Linked DNA regions of Xenopus tropicalis. The protein of the gene in region 3 interacts with the protein of the main gene of each other region in a biochemical or structural test. Links are inferred from orthologs where the notes say so. Each region holds a gene or a part of one and is shown on either strand. Other genes may lie near its edges. The genes, in order: ret, vgll4 and lrrk1.

Evidence for each region.
Region 1: the proteins of lrrk1 (region 3) and ret form a complex in vitro, tested with the Homo sapiens proteins (2 studies listed by BioGRID and IntAct, with this or other methods). The link is inferred for Xenopus tropicalis from reciprocal best matches to the Homo sapiens genes LRRK1 and RET.
Region 2: the proteins of lrrk1 (region 3) and vgll4 form a complex in vitro, tested with the Homo sapiens proteins (2 studies listed by BioGRID and IntAct, with this or other methods). The link is inferred for Xenopus tropicalis from reciprocal best matches to the Homo sapiens genes LRRK1 and VGLL4.

The regions. Positions count from the first base shown.
Region 1 is NC_030683.2:50,223,442-50,227,725, reverse strand, and holds the start of ret (proto-oncogene tyrosine-protein kinase receptor Ret), read right to left. Parts: upstream 2,920-4,284; 5' UTR 2,080-2,919; coding exon 2,034-2,079; intron 1-2,033. UniProt on the Homo sapiens protein: Receptor tyrosine-protein kinase involved in numerous cellular mechanisms including cell proliferation, neuronal navigation, cell migration, and cell differentiation in response to glia cell line-derived growth family factors (GDNF, NRTN, ARTN, PSPN and GDF15).
Region 2 is NC_030680.2:151,278,431-151,281,953, forward strand, and holds part of vgll4 (transcription cofactor vestigial-like protein 4), read left to right. Parts: intron 1-1,648; coding exon 1,649-1,859; intron 1,860-2,639; coding exon 2,640-2,763; intron 2,764-3,285; coding exon 3,286-3,523. UniProt on the Homo sapiens protein: May act as a specific coactivator for the mammalian TEFs.
Region 3 is NC_030679.2:115,735,701-115,739,355, forward strand, and holds part of lrrk1 (leucine-rich repeat serine/threonine-protein kinase 1), read left to right. Parts: intron 1-743; coding exon 744-856; intron 857-1,305; coding exon 1,306-1,520; intron 1,521-3,655.

The DNA.
Region 1 (4,284 bases), on a different chromosome or scaffold from region 3:
CTTGTCAGCCTTAGATCAAAGATACACAGTATAGAAATACAACATAATAATCTCTATATTAACAAACAAGTCCATAGAATTATGGAAGCAGAGTCTTCAGAAACGATTGCCAGCCATAAAATGTCTTGTGTTCTTACTAACTTTCATCTTCTGAAAGTTGAAGCTTCGCAAATATAATAATTCAATGATAAAGCAGAATTTCAACCATGCAGATGCAGACTAATCAGAGACACATTAGCCTTCTCCATCAATTATTTGCTAAAAGCATTTTACCAATAACCAAGATACAACAAATGTGAATAAGACTGAAGAGTTAATAGTGAAGTGCATAGCATCTTACTGTCACACTTTGACAAATAATGACAGGTGTATAGGAAAGATGATATTGTATATCCTTTATTTCCTTCTATAATTTATTTGGATGGCCTGCTCTGCAATATAATAATTATAATAATAAGTTAAACATAGATAGTAAGAGAAAAGGAGAAAAAATAAATAGACAGATGAATAAGATAGGAATCAGTTCAAGCAGATACATTAATCCTTTTTCTCATCCTTCACACTACAGTATACTTTATAATACAAATCATTTTAAGTTTAAGTGTCATACCTACTTATACATGTCATTAAATACAATTTAAAATTATAGATTTATTTATGGACAAGTAAAAAGATAATACTGCTCTGGTCAGGCTTCCAGACTTTGGCTTTCTAGTTTGTGTTAAAAACAAAACACAGATTTGGTTTGAGAGAAATCAGTACTACACATTAAATGCATTGCGCTGAAAAAGATGCCAAAAGCCTACTATTAATGTTAATAACAGCAGACAATAAAAGATTATTATTAAAATTATAATTGATAGAACATCTGTATTTAATAAAATCAGCTAGTGAATTCATTAAAAATGAATTTATACCATAGAATTTTGAATACATTTTCAAAAATAAGAATATGGTTCATTAATTGCTATTTGCTTGGCACATTTGCCAGAGGGTCTGGCAGCAGTGTGATTTCGTCAGGTGGCAGAAATGGTTAATCACGGAACAATAAACATAACATGTGCTAAAGTTGTGCCCTCTGAAGTGATTATGGACCAGAGGGTTATTTATTACCCAAAATCGTGGAGCCTGGCCTCTGCTGTATTAAAGAGCTCAGATTTATTCACCTGCATGTGCTGAGTCTATGAGCAAACACTGACATATGGAGATAAGGGAAAATGATATGATTTTCTGTTTACATTAGTGAAACAGCAGCTGCTGGCACCTTTACATGAGATCAGATCTGCAGACTTCTTACCTCACTGCAAAGAACTCATAAATATCTAGGACTCGGCATCATAACTGCCCCAGTCTCTGCTACTGCTACCAACAGTGTGCTTTTCTTTCCTCCATGTCGTACTTACAATCCCAGTGTAACCTGGCAGACCCTGTACCCGGTCCCATTCAGAGGGAGCCTGGTAATCCCTGTACCAACTATTTAGCATTCAAAGACAACCTGGAACCCCCATGCCAACCAATCAAAACAAAGGGAACCAGTTGATAACACTAGCTACTCTTCAGCATTTATAGATATACCAATTCCCCCCCCCCCCCCAAAACCACTGTTTAAATAAAGTATCCATCATTCATTATTTGGAGATAACCTGATGCCCATACACCCTCTGTTCCCTTAATTACTAACCCACAAACCTGTCCCTGCTGTTTTTTTAGTAGAGCTAAGAATGCTAAGTATCCTGCTAAATTCTAAAGTGCCAGAATGAAAATTGGCACATCCTACTGTAAATGAAAGCACTGCTGAGAATAATAATTAGTAACGGGAAGAGACTGTGCAACCATACAGTAGGAGTCGATATGGGGACCTAACTAAAATAGGGGATTTGGGCTTAGCAGGTAAACCCCTCTCCCTAAAAGTTATACAGAAGTATAGGTCAGGACTGTGTATAAGCAGGTCTCAATAATAACAGCAGCCTTATCATAACAAGAAAGTGCAGCATCTTAGAACATCTAATCTGTAGCAGCCAAGCCCCCCTTACCTTGCAAGAGGGAGAGTAAACAGAGTGCCCACCCTGCAGGTGCCATCCTGACCTAGGAGTGGGTTTAGTGCCAGAGGTAGAAAGTTGCCCCTCTGCAATAATCCACTTCTGGTGTCTCCAGGGCGTGTCTGGAACAGAATGAACGGTCTCCTGTGTTTTCCTGTAATCCTTTAGCCAGATTGACCCATGCTGTCCTAGTGCCTGCAGACCTTTCCCCGAGTGTGGGAGAGGATCTCCGATGCTATGGGACTGGACCTGGCCACACCACAACTCAGATTTAGAATGTGCTTGTCTCAGCCCAGCCTGCTCACTAGCTGAGCCTGCACCATACAGCGTGCACTGCCAGGCATCCTGCTGCGTGTCCCTTGCCTGTCTCTCTTCTTAGGGGGATGTGAGAGGACAAGCTGTTTTCTTCCTGAGACAGTAGTGGTGTCAGACGACAAAAGCAGTGGTGTCAGACGACAAAAGCAGCACACAATGAAATCCACAGAAAGAAAAGTTGCTGCGGAGATGCTGAAATGTCCACTCCCCCGATCTGCTACAATTTCCCAAAGACAGTCTCCTAAAGATGCTTAAATAAAGATGTCCAGGGAGGCACAAATCATCATCTTAACCCTGAGAGTCCTGTGCTTCTCCCACTCTTGCAGCAGGTGTTACATTGGGAACACAACTGAGTTTATCATTATTAATATCTTGTCTAGGAGATCTAGGCAGGGCTTGGGAATCGTCCCAAATGCTAGTTTGGATGTTCAAGCAGCTATAAAGAGGAGAGGTATTGTTTGGAAAAGGAGCATAGGTTCTCTGTTTGGATCTGGATTGGTTCTTGCATGAGAAGAGATGATGTTGATAACAGGCGAGTGCATCTGCAGGAAACTCAGTGCAAATAAAGCCAAGAGCAAATGGGCACTCAGCTACACCCAGTTTAATTAATAAACTGCAGCCAGGAGCAAGCAGGGGAGGGAACAGGCAGGGGGGGGAACTCTCACACATGGACTATACTGAAGTGAAAAGGGCAAAGGGAAGAAGCAGACACCGCAATCAAAACCAATCAGGCATAAAATACATTGCCAAACCTACAGGCAACTTGGATTCTTTCTTTGCTAACCCACTGTCAGAAGTAATCACTGAGTTAAATAGCACACAGAAAGAGTTAAAAGCAAATTGTCCTGTTTTCCTGATACAGTTTTATTAAGGCAAATTAAATTATTTCATTTCATCTGCACCTACTTCAATTTTGTATTAAAAAAAAAACTGTTCTCTATGGTTCTGGCAATAAATCTTTTAAAATATATTACCTTCTTTTTTAGTGTTCTAAAGGAAGGGCAATAGGTGATAGGCATGGAAAATCCAAATTAACTTGCAGATAAAAAAGAAGCCTGGAAATATAAGCGTTTATTTTTTTTTTTACTGTGGAAGACACAAGTGCAAGAGTACAAAGGGGCACGCAAAATGAAATCTGTCACAAGGTGCAGAGGATCTGAACAACGCAGTCTTGTGCTTAACATCTTCCATAGCAGTGCTGTCCAACTTCTGTTGTACCGAGGGCCGGAATTTTTCCGACCTACGTGGTGGAGGGCCGATAATGGAAGCCAGTTTTGACCACTCCCCTTTTTGAAACCGCACCCACTTGAAACCACACCCATGTTATCACATGACCATACCCATATTAATGGTTGTAGTACAGCAAAAACCTGCCATACTCTGCCTGCCCTACCCTGCCTGTGTGTGCCATACTCTGCCTGCCCTACCCTGCCTGTGTGTGCCATACTCTGCCTTCCCTACCCTGCCTGTGTGCCATACTTTCACTGTGTGTGCCATTCTTGTCTGGTTTGTGCCATACTTGGCCTGTGTGTTCCATACTCTTCCTGTGTGTGCCATACTCTGCCTGCCCTATGCTGCCTGTGTGTGCCATACTCTGCTTGCCCTACGCTGCCTGTGTGTGTATGGCACACACAGGCAGCCTACAGTGACACAATGCTGGCACTGCTCCTACAGTCTGCACAATAACTATATATTAAAAAACGTTTTAATTGCAGTACCACCTCAGTATATGTTCTTTTTGTAGAGTGCAGGGATTATTTGTGGGTTTCTACTGCTCCTGAGGTGTAAACAGGGGAACAATGGGAGTGATTACAGCCTGAGCCTGAGGTGTGAACACTGCAGGAGTGAACAATGCAGAGATTAAAAGGTGTGAACAACACAGGGGATTACATATTTAAACAATACAGAGGGATTACAGCCTGAATCTGAG
Region 2 (3,523 bases), on a different chromosome or scaffold from region 3:
CTCCCTAATATGGCGCCTGTTCCTTCTTGGTATCTTGGTCGCCAAATTCAGGGTTTTCTTTTCCTAGTGTTTCCAACAGGGCCTCGCTGGCCTGCAGAGCTGCTTGTATCTGAGTGCAACCAATGGCTCAGCACTCTAGAGATGATATATATATGAACCAGTGTTTTGGCTATTTTGCCTTAGTATGTGTACAAGGGCCCAGAACATTCCTTCTCTGTATATTTGTATTTATACATATGGGTAGGGGGTGCCATAGTGTTTCCCTTAGACAGTACAGTATGGGGGTACAGCTTATTGTGTGCCCAGAACATTCCTTCTCTGTATATTTGTATTTATACATATGGGTAGGGGGTGCCATAGTGTTTCCCTTAGACAGTACAGTATGGGGGTACAGCTTATTGTGTGCCCAGAACATTCCTTCTCTGTATATTTGTATTTATACATATGGGTAGGGGGTGCCATAGTGTTTCCCTTAGACAGTACAGTATGGGGGTACAGCTTATTGTGTGCCCAGAACATTCCTTCTCTGTATATTTGTATTTATACATATGGGTAGGGGGTGCCATAGTGTTTCCCTTAGACAGTACAGTATGGGGGTACAGCTTATTGTGTGCCCAGAACATTCCTTTTCTGTATGTTTGTATTTATACATATGGGTAGGGGGTGCCATAGTGTTTCCCTTAGACAGTACAGTATGGGGGTACAGCTTATTGTGTGCCCAGAACATTCCCTCTCTGTATATTTGTATTTATACATATGGGTAGGAGGTGCCATAGTGTTTCCCTTAGACAGTACAGTATGGGGGTACAGCTTATTGTGTGCCCAAAACATTCCTTCTCTGTATATTTGTATTTATACATATGGGTAGGGGGTGCCATATTGATCCCCATAGACAGTACAGTATGGGGGTACAGCTTATTGTGTGCCCAGAACATTCCTTCTCTGTATATTTGTATTTATACATATGGGTAGGAGGTGCCATAGTGTTTCCCTTAGACAGTACAGTATGGGGGTACAGCTTATTGTGTGCCCAGAACATTCCTTCTCTGTATATTTGTATTTATACATATGGGTAGGAGGTGCCATAGTGTTTCCCTTAGACAGTACAGTATGGGGGTACAGCTTATTGTGTGCCCAGAACATTCCTTCTCTGTATATTTGTGTGTGTGTGTGTGTATCTCTGGGGGCTCCTCTAGTATCTGAATATTTTAGTAATAATGACTGTTTCCTTACACTGTTCCCCACAGTTCCTTATTTCTTCCCCTCAGCCCCCCAATCCTTTCTTCATTGGCCAAGTATCAATCTTCCCATCCACAATTTCCTTTTTTCAAATTTCCCAAACTTCTTAAACCCCATATTTTCCCGCCACCCACCTAAACCCACACCAGCAACCCTACTTGATGACCCAAACCCAGCCAACCCACGGAACCTGTAGGTACTGGGTACACTTGCACCTCATTGCTGTGTATAGCCAGCATTACTCCTCTCCCAAGCAGCTCCAGGGGCCCCCCTACTCCATGTGCAGCAGAACCATAGTACACGGGCATCCCCTAATCCTGTCAGATTGTAAGCTCTAATGGTTACAGCTTTATTTTCTGTATCAGTCATTATGGTGCACAGATTTCATCCCTGTTTTGCTTTTGTCTAGAACCAAGAGCCTTAACGGCGACTACCGGAAAGAGCACAGAGACCGGAGCCGGAGCCCCATAGAAAGAGCAGCGGCACCGACCATGAGTCTCCACGCCAGCCACTTGTATGGGATCCCACCCCTGGCGGTGGATCAGCCGCTGGCACTTACCAAAAACAGCATGGATGCTTCGCGAAGCATGGGAATCGTGCCCACCATGGAACGGCAACAGGTGAAGTGACTTTTATTTCCACCGATACACATGTTGGACTGTAAATGTGCCCATACATGGGCCGATTGTAGCTGCCGATATGGGCCCCTTGGACCGATTCGGCAGCTTATCGACCCCTGTAGGGGCAGGAACGAGGGGCCTGCCCGGCAGATATCGATCGGGCAGGTTAAGTCAGATCGGTGACCGCATCAACGAGCCAATGCGGTCCCTGATCTGACTTAACCTGCCGAACCGATTGCCCCACTGCCGCCATTGTAATTTGATTGTTTGGCCCCAGGGCCAAGCGATCTAATTAGCCTACATTTTCCCCGGTATCGCCCACCCGTAGGTGGGGATATCGGGAGAAGATCCGCTCGCTTGGTGAACTCGCTAGGCAAGCAGATCTTCACATGTATGGGCACCTTAACTCCCTGTGGCCCTACTATTCTGATTAATATTCTTTAATAGATTCTTTTAGGGAAAAATAGATGCAAGTTCCTGAGGGTTAATGAATCGTTAGATTCATCTGCATCCGTGTGGCCCAGAGCACTAGTGTTTTGGGAATATGGGATTGGACATAGTCATTCCCTTGGGCAGGTCCTGATACTGCGCTACAGCTCCTGTTGGTGTCTCAGACAGTGTTGGGAGTAAATGCAGCCAGTATCACTGGATATTTTTTTTTTTTCCCAAATATTATTAAATTGTCGACTTTGTAAAACTTCACTCTCCATCCAAAATTGTTGCCCAGGATCGTTTTAAGGCACAAGTGACTCAAGGCTGCAATTCTTTCTTTCTTCCCAGAACCGACCTTCTGTGATTACGTGTGCACCGGCGAGTAACCGCAACTGCAGTCTGTCTCACTGCCCCGTCACCCACAGCGGGGGTGTCTCTGCCGTGCCCGGCAGCTTCCGGCGGCCATCAAACAGTGAGTTCAACTTCTTGGCTAAACACATCATTTAACCTCTTACCTGCCAGGCAACCGGAATAACAGTACCAGCCCCATAGATTCTAAGGTTGCTTATATCTTTTGCCCCAGCACTGGAAGGGTTAAGTCACCCCAGAGGTTTTTTACTGCCCCAGTTCTGCTGAATCATTTCCACTTAAAACCTTATTCCAGGATGACCTTGTAGCCCGGGCTGGAGCTCTATATTTGTTGCAGTGCAGCCATTTTGAAGACCGGGATGCAGTGCCTATTGGCAGGTCATGGAAATTGCCGTATTTCTCGAAGGTGATTAGTCCTGGTCCAGTTACTCCAAAGGCTTGTAATGCCGGACATGGGCCCCAGTCATTTCCCTAGTGCTCCAGGTCTGACAATTCCCCTTTGAATGATGGTGTAATTTAGTACTGGATTCTTCAGGTTCTAATGTGTCTGTAGTAAATAGAACATTCCAGTGGAATTGACTCCAAGCCAATTAACACTTTGCTTTCTTTTTCCCCTCTGCCCCAGCCACGACCGCCTGTGACCCTGTGGTGGAAGAGCACTTTCGCAGAAGTCTCGGCAAGAACTACAAGGAGCCGGAGCCCGTGGCCAATTCTGTGTCCATCACCGGTTCTGTCGATGACCATTTTGCCAAGGCACTTGGAGAAACCTGGCTCCAGATTAAAGCTGCCAAGGATGGTGGGCCCAGTAGCCCTGAATCTGCCTCGCGAAGAGGGCAATCATCCCCTTCGGCTCACATGATGAA
Region 3 (3,655 bases):
CATATGCAAAATCATATACCTTTTTAGCAGCCTGTTGTTGATAAAAAAGGTTTGTATGTCTAGGACATCTTTAAAATTGGTACTAGACATGAGCCAGTCCACTTTTATACCAGTTCTGAAGATTTGCCAAAGATAAATTGTGATTTTGGCTGACTTTCTAGTCATGTGGTTTATGCCTGCATTTCTGCTCTAAATACTGCGTAGGAACCACTAATAAATATTCCATAAAATCCTAAAAATATGGAGGCACAGAATTTCTTTAAAACACACTTTCTATGCCAAACAGCTATTCATACTTTTTTTGGGCTATTAATGTAAAGGGTTATAAAACCCACCAAGCACTAGCATGGGCTTTGTATAGTCTGCTTAACTTTAGTGCCATGAGACATGGGTCATTTTTTGCCCTCCATCAAGCACGAACAACAAAACTACTGAAATTGTGGGTCATTACCGGCAATGTAAATTGGCACTGGTAAATTGTTAGATCGTGTAATTGCACAAAAATGTCTCCTAGGGTATTTTTACACAGCTTGAATAATTTCAATAATTGCTGGCAAATACACCACATAAAAACAACCAGTGTGTCACTGCCCTTTGGAAAGTATCATTGCTGCTCAGTTGTGCTGTATCCCTATCCAGTAAAGAGATGCAACAGTAGGTAATAGCAGCAATAGCTAACCTCCTTCCTGTAAACTTAGAGCATCTAATACACTAATGGATTCATTTATTCCACCCTTTTCTAGCAATCCAGGTATACGAGAGCTTCCTGCAGATTTGGGGCAGTTGTCTAGTCTGTGGCAACTGGACCTTGAGGATCTGAACATCACAAACCTGCCCGGGGAGATCAGAAAGGAGGGTAGGTGAACAAAGGGACCTGCTCACTTTCTTAGATACACTGGTTAGAATTGACCAGATTTGGTTATGATTTCACATACATATGTTACATAAAGCAACTTTATTTATACAGCGCCAACATATTCCACAGCACTTAACAGAGATTATACATCAATCACATCATTCCCTTCCCACACACAATGATCAGTTGTATTAGGAGCCTGTTTACCTGACTGTATGTATTTGGAGTGTTTGAGGAAACCCACACAGACAAGGAGGAAAACATACAAAATCTTTGCAGATATTGGATGCAGAATAGGACCTCAGTGCTGCAAGGCAACAGTGCTAACCATTGCTCCACAATGATAAAGCTATCCTTTATAATCTCATCAAAATGAAGGTGCAGAGCTTTGCAGAACAACTGCTTTGGTGGTTATTAGATATTGACATGTCACATCCTACTGTACCTAGGGCCAGTTACTATCCTGGCTTACCTGCGTGCTCAGCTGAGAAGGGCAGAACGATGCCATCTGGTTAAAATGATAATTGTGGGACCCCCTCGGCAGGGCAAATCTACCCTTTTTGAGGTTCTGCAGAGTGGGAAAGTGTCTCAGCAAATGCAAGGGGACAACTCCATAAGAACCACCTGCTGGGAGCTACAGAAGCCTGTGGGGACCACTGCAAAGGTGAGCAGCAGAGTTCAATTGTAGTAACCTACGTTATTGTAAATTCTACTCACAGATAGTGTTACTGCCAGCTTGAATAGCCCTAGGTGGGATTAGTGGCTGAACTGCAAATATTACAAATATTTTTTTTTTTAATTTTTTTATTATAAATATTTTTTAAACAAATGCTTACATTGGGAGACTTGTGGTTTTAGTAAAAATAAATTTGTTTAAAGCTGGCCATACACGTGGCGATCTGACGATGTTTCGTGGTCGCACGAAACATCGTCAGATCCGCCACACACCATTCAGGGCTCAATCGGCAGGTAAGGAGGTAGAAACAATAGGATTTCTACCTCCTTCTGCCGATTCAGCGCTGAAGAGAAATTTTGGTCAGGCGCCTTCTATGGCGCCCGATCAAAATTTTCAAACTGGTCCGATCGGCGAGTCGGCAGATATCAGCAGCTTCCTGCGATATCGGTCGACTGGCCGACATACCATACACGCAGCGAATATCGTACGAAATGAGGTTTCATACGATATTATCGGTGCGTGTATGGCCACCTTAAGAATCTTACCTTATGCTATAACAATTTAACTAGTAGACCACTCTGCAAAATCTAGACTCTTTCATGGGTATGTTCTCCTCAAAAGTCACTTGTGTTGAATGTTGGAATCCTGCTAGCTGACTTTAGGCATGTGCATGTGGGCAACAGCATTTAAAAAAAAAAGGTGTGAAAGAATGCTAAAAAAATTCATATGTAGGAGCATATGCAAAGAACAGCAGTGTTGATGGCACATGTCATTATCCAATTTACATTTGTTGTATTCTTGTACACCTACCCTGATGTGCTTGTGTTGGGTGTGTGTCACACACAGACCATGCCCACTTGAGGTAAATCTATCTTGCAGATCGTAGATTGGCATAAAGAGAATGTGTGAACCAGGTAAATGCTGAAACATAGTAATGCAACGGTTCTGTACTTCATTCTGTCAAATAGGATATCCAAGTTCCTCCTAAAAATCCTGCCAGTACAACATTCCATAGGGTTACTGCCTTCATATCAAAGTACCTTTTGCATAGCCTTATGCCAAGGGCACACTATGGCCATGATCTGCTTTTCTCCGCCTGAGTTTTGTACTTCATTTTGGCAGTAGGGCAAGTTTCTGGATCAACTTTGTAATTGTTGTATTCATTTCAGTCACCTTGTATTTTCTTTCTTGCAAGGAAAGGCATCCATATCTTTCTTGAAGTTATCTTGTACATGTTTCAGTACAACAGCTTCAGGGAAGAAATAACACAATTTTACAAATTTTCTCACTGTAAAAGATATCTCTTTCCTTAATATGAAACCTCTGTTTGTTTAATCTCAATAGTATGTCCTTTTGTTCTCTGCAGATACTTATTGGTTAAGGGCATTTATTGTATGGGCCCCTTATATATTCATACATAGCTATCATATTCCCCTTAACCACTGCTTTTTCAATGTTGAAAAAAATGCAGCCACTCTTTTCTGGGCTTTCCATATTTCTTTAAAGGAATACTGTCATGGGAAAATGTGTTTTTTTCAAAAGGCATCAGTTGATAGGTATTCTCCAGCAGAATCCTGCACACAAACAGATTTCTTTATATTTAACTTTGAAATTTCACATGGGGCTAGCCATATTCTGCATTTCACTGAAAGCAGTTCTAATGTGCAGCGCTGGCATCTTTTTAAATATCAGACTCGGGCACAATGCACTAAGATGGCGCCTACACACCAATATTAAAACTAAGAATAATTAAGAAATTAAGAATAATTTTAAATGGTAGAGTGAATTATTTGCTATGTAAACAGTGTAATTTAGAATTAAAAAGTACCCCATAAAAAATCATGACAATATCCCTTTATTAATGAATTATATGATGGAAACGCAAACTGCACTCCATATTTTAAATAGATCCTACCTTACCTTTATTACCCCTTCAAGTACAGGACAGTATTTTGACGAACATTGCTGCTGCTGCTGTCTGACATTTCCTGCTGCACACATGTTTTTTATCTGCAATTACCCCAAGATCCTTCTCCATTAAGGATTTACCTAACTTAAGGTCCCCATACACGGGCCGATTCTAGCTGCTGATATCGGTCCCTTAGACTGATCGGCCCGTGTAT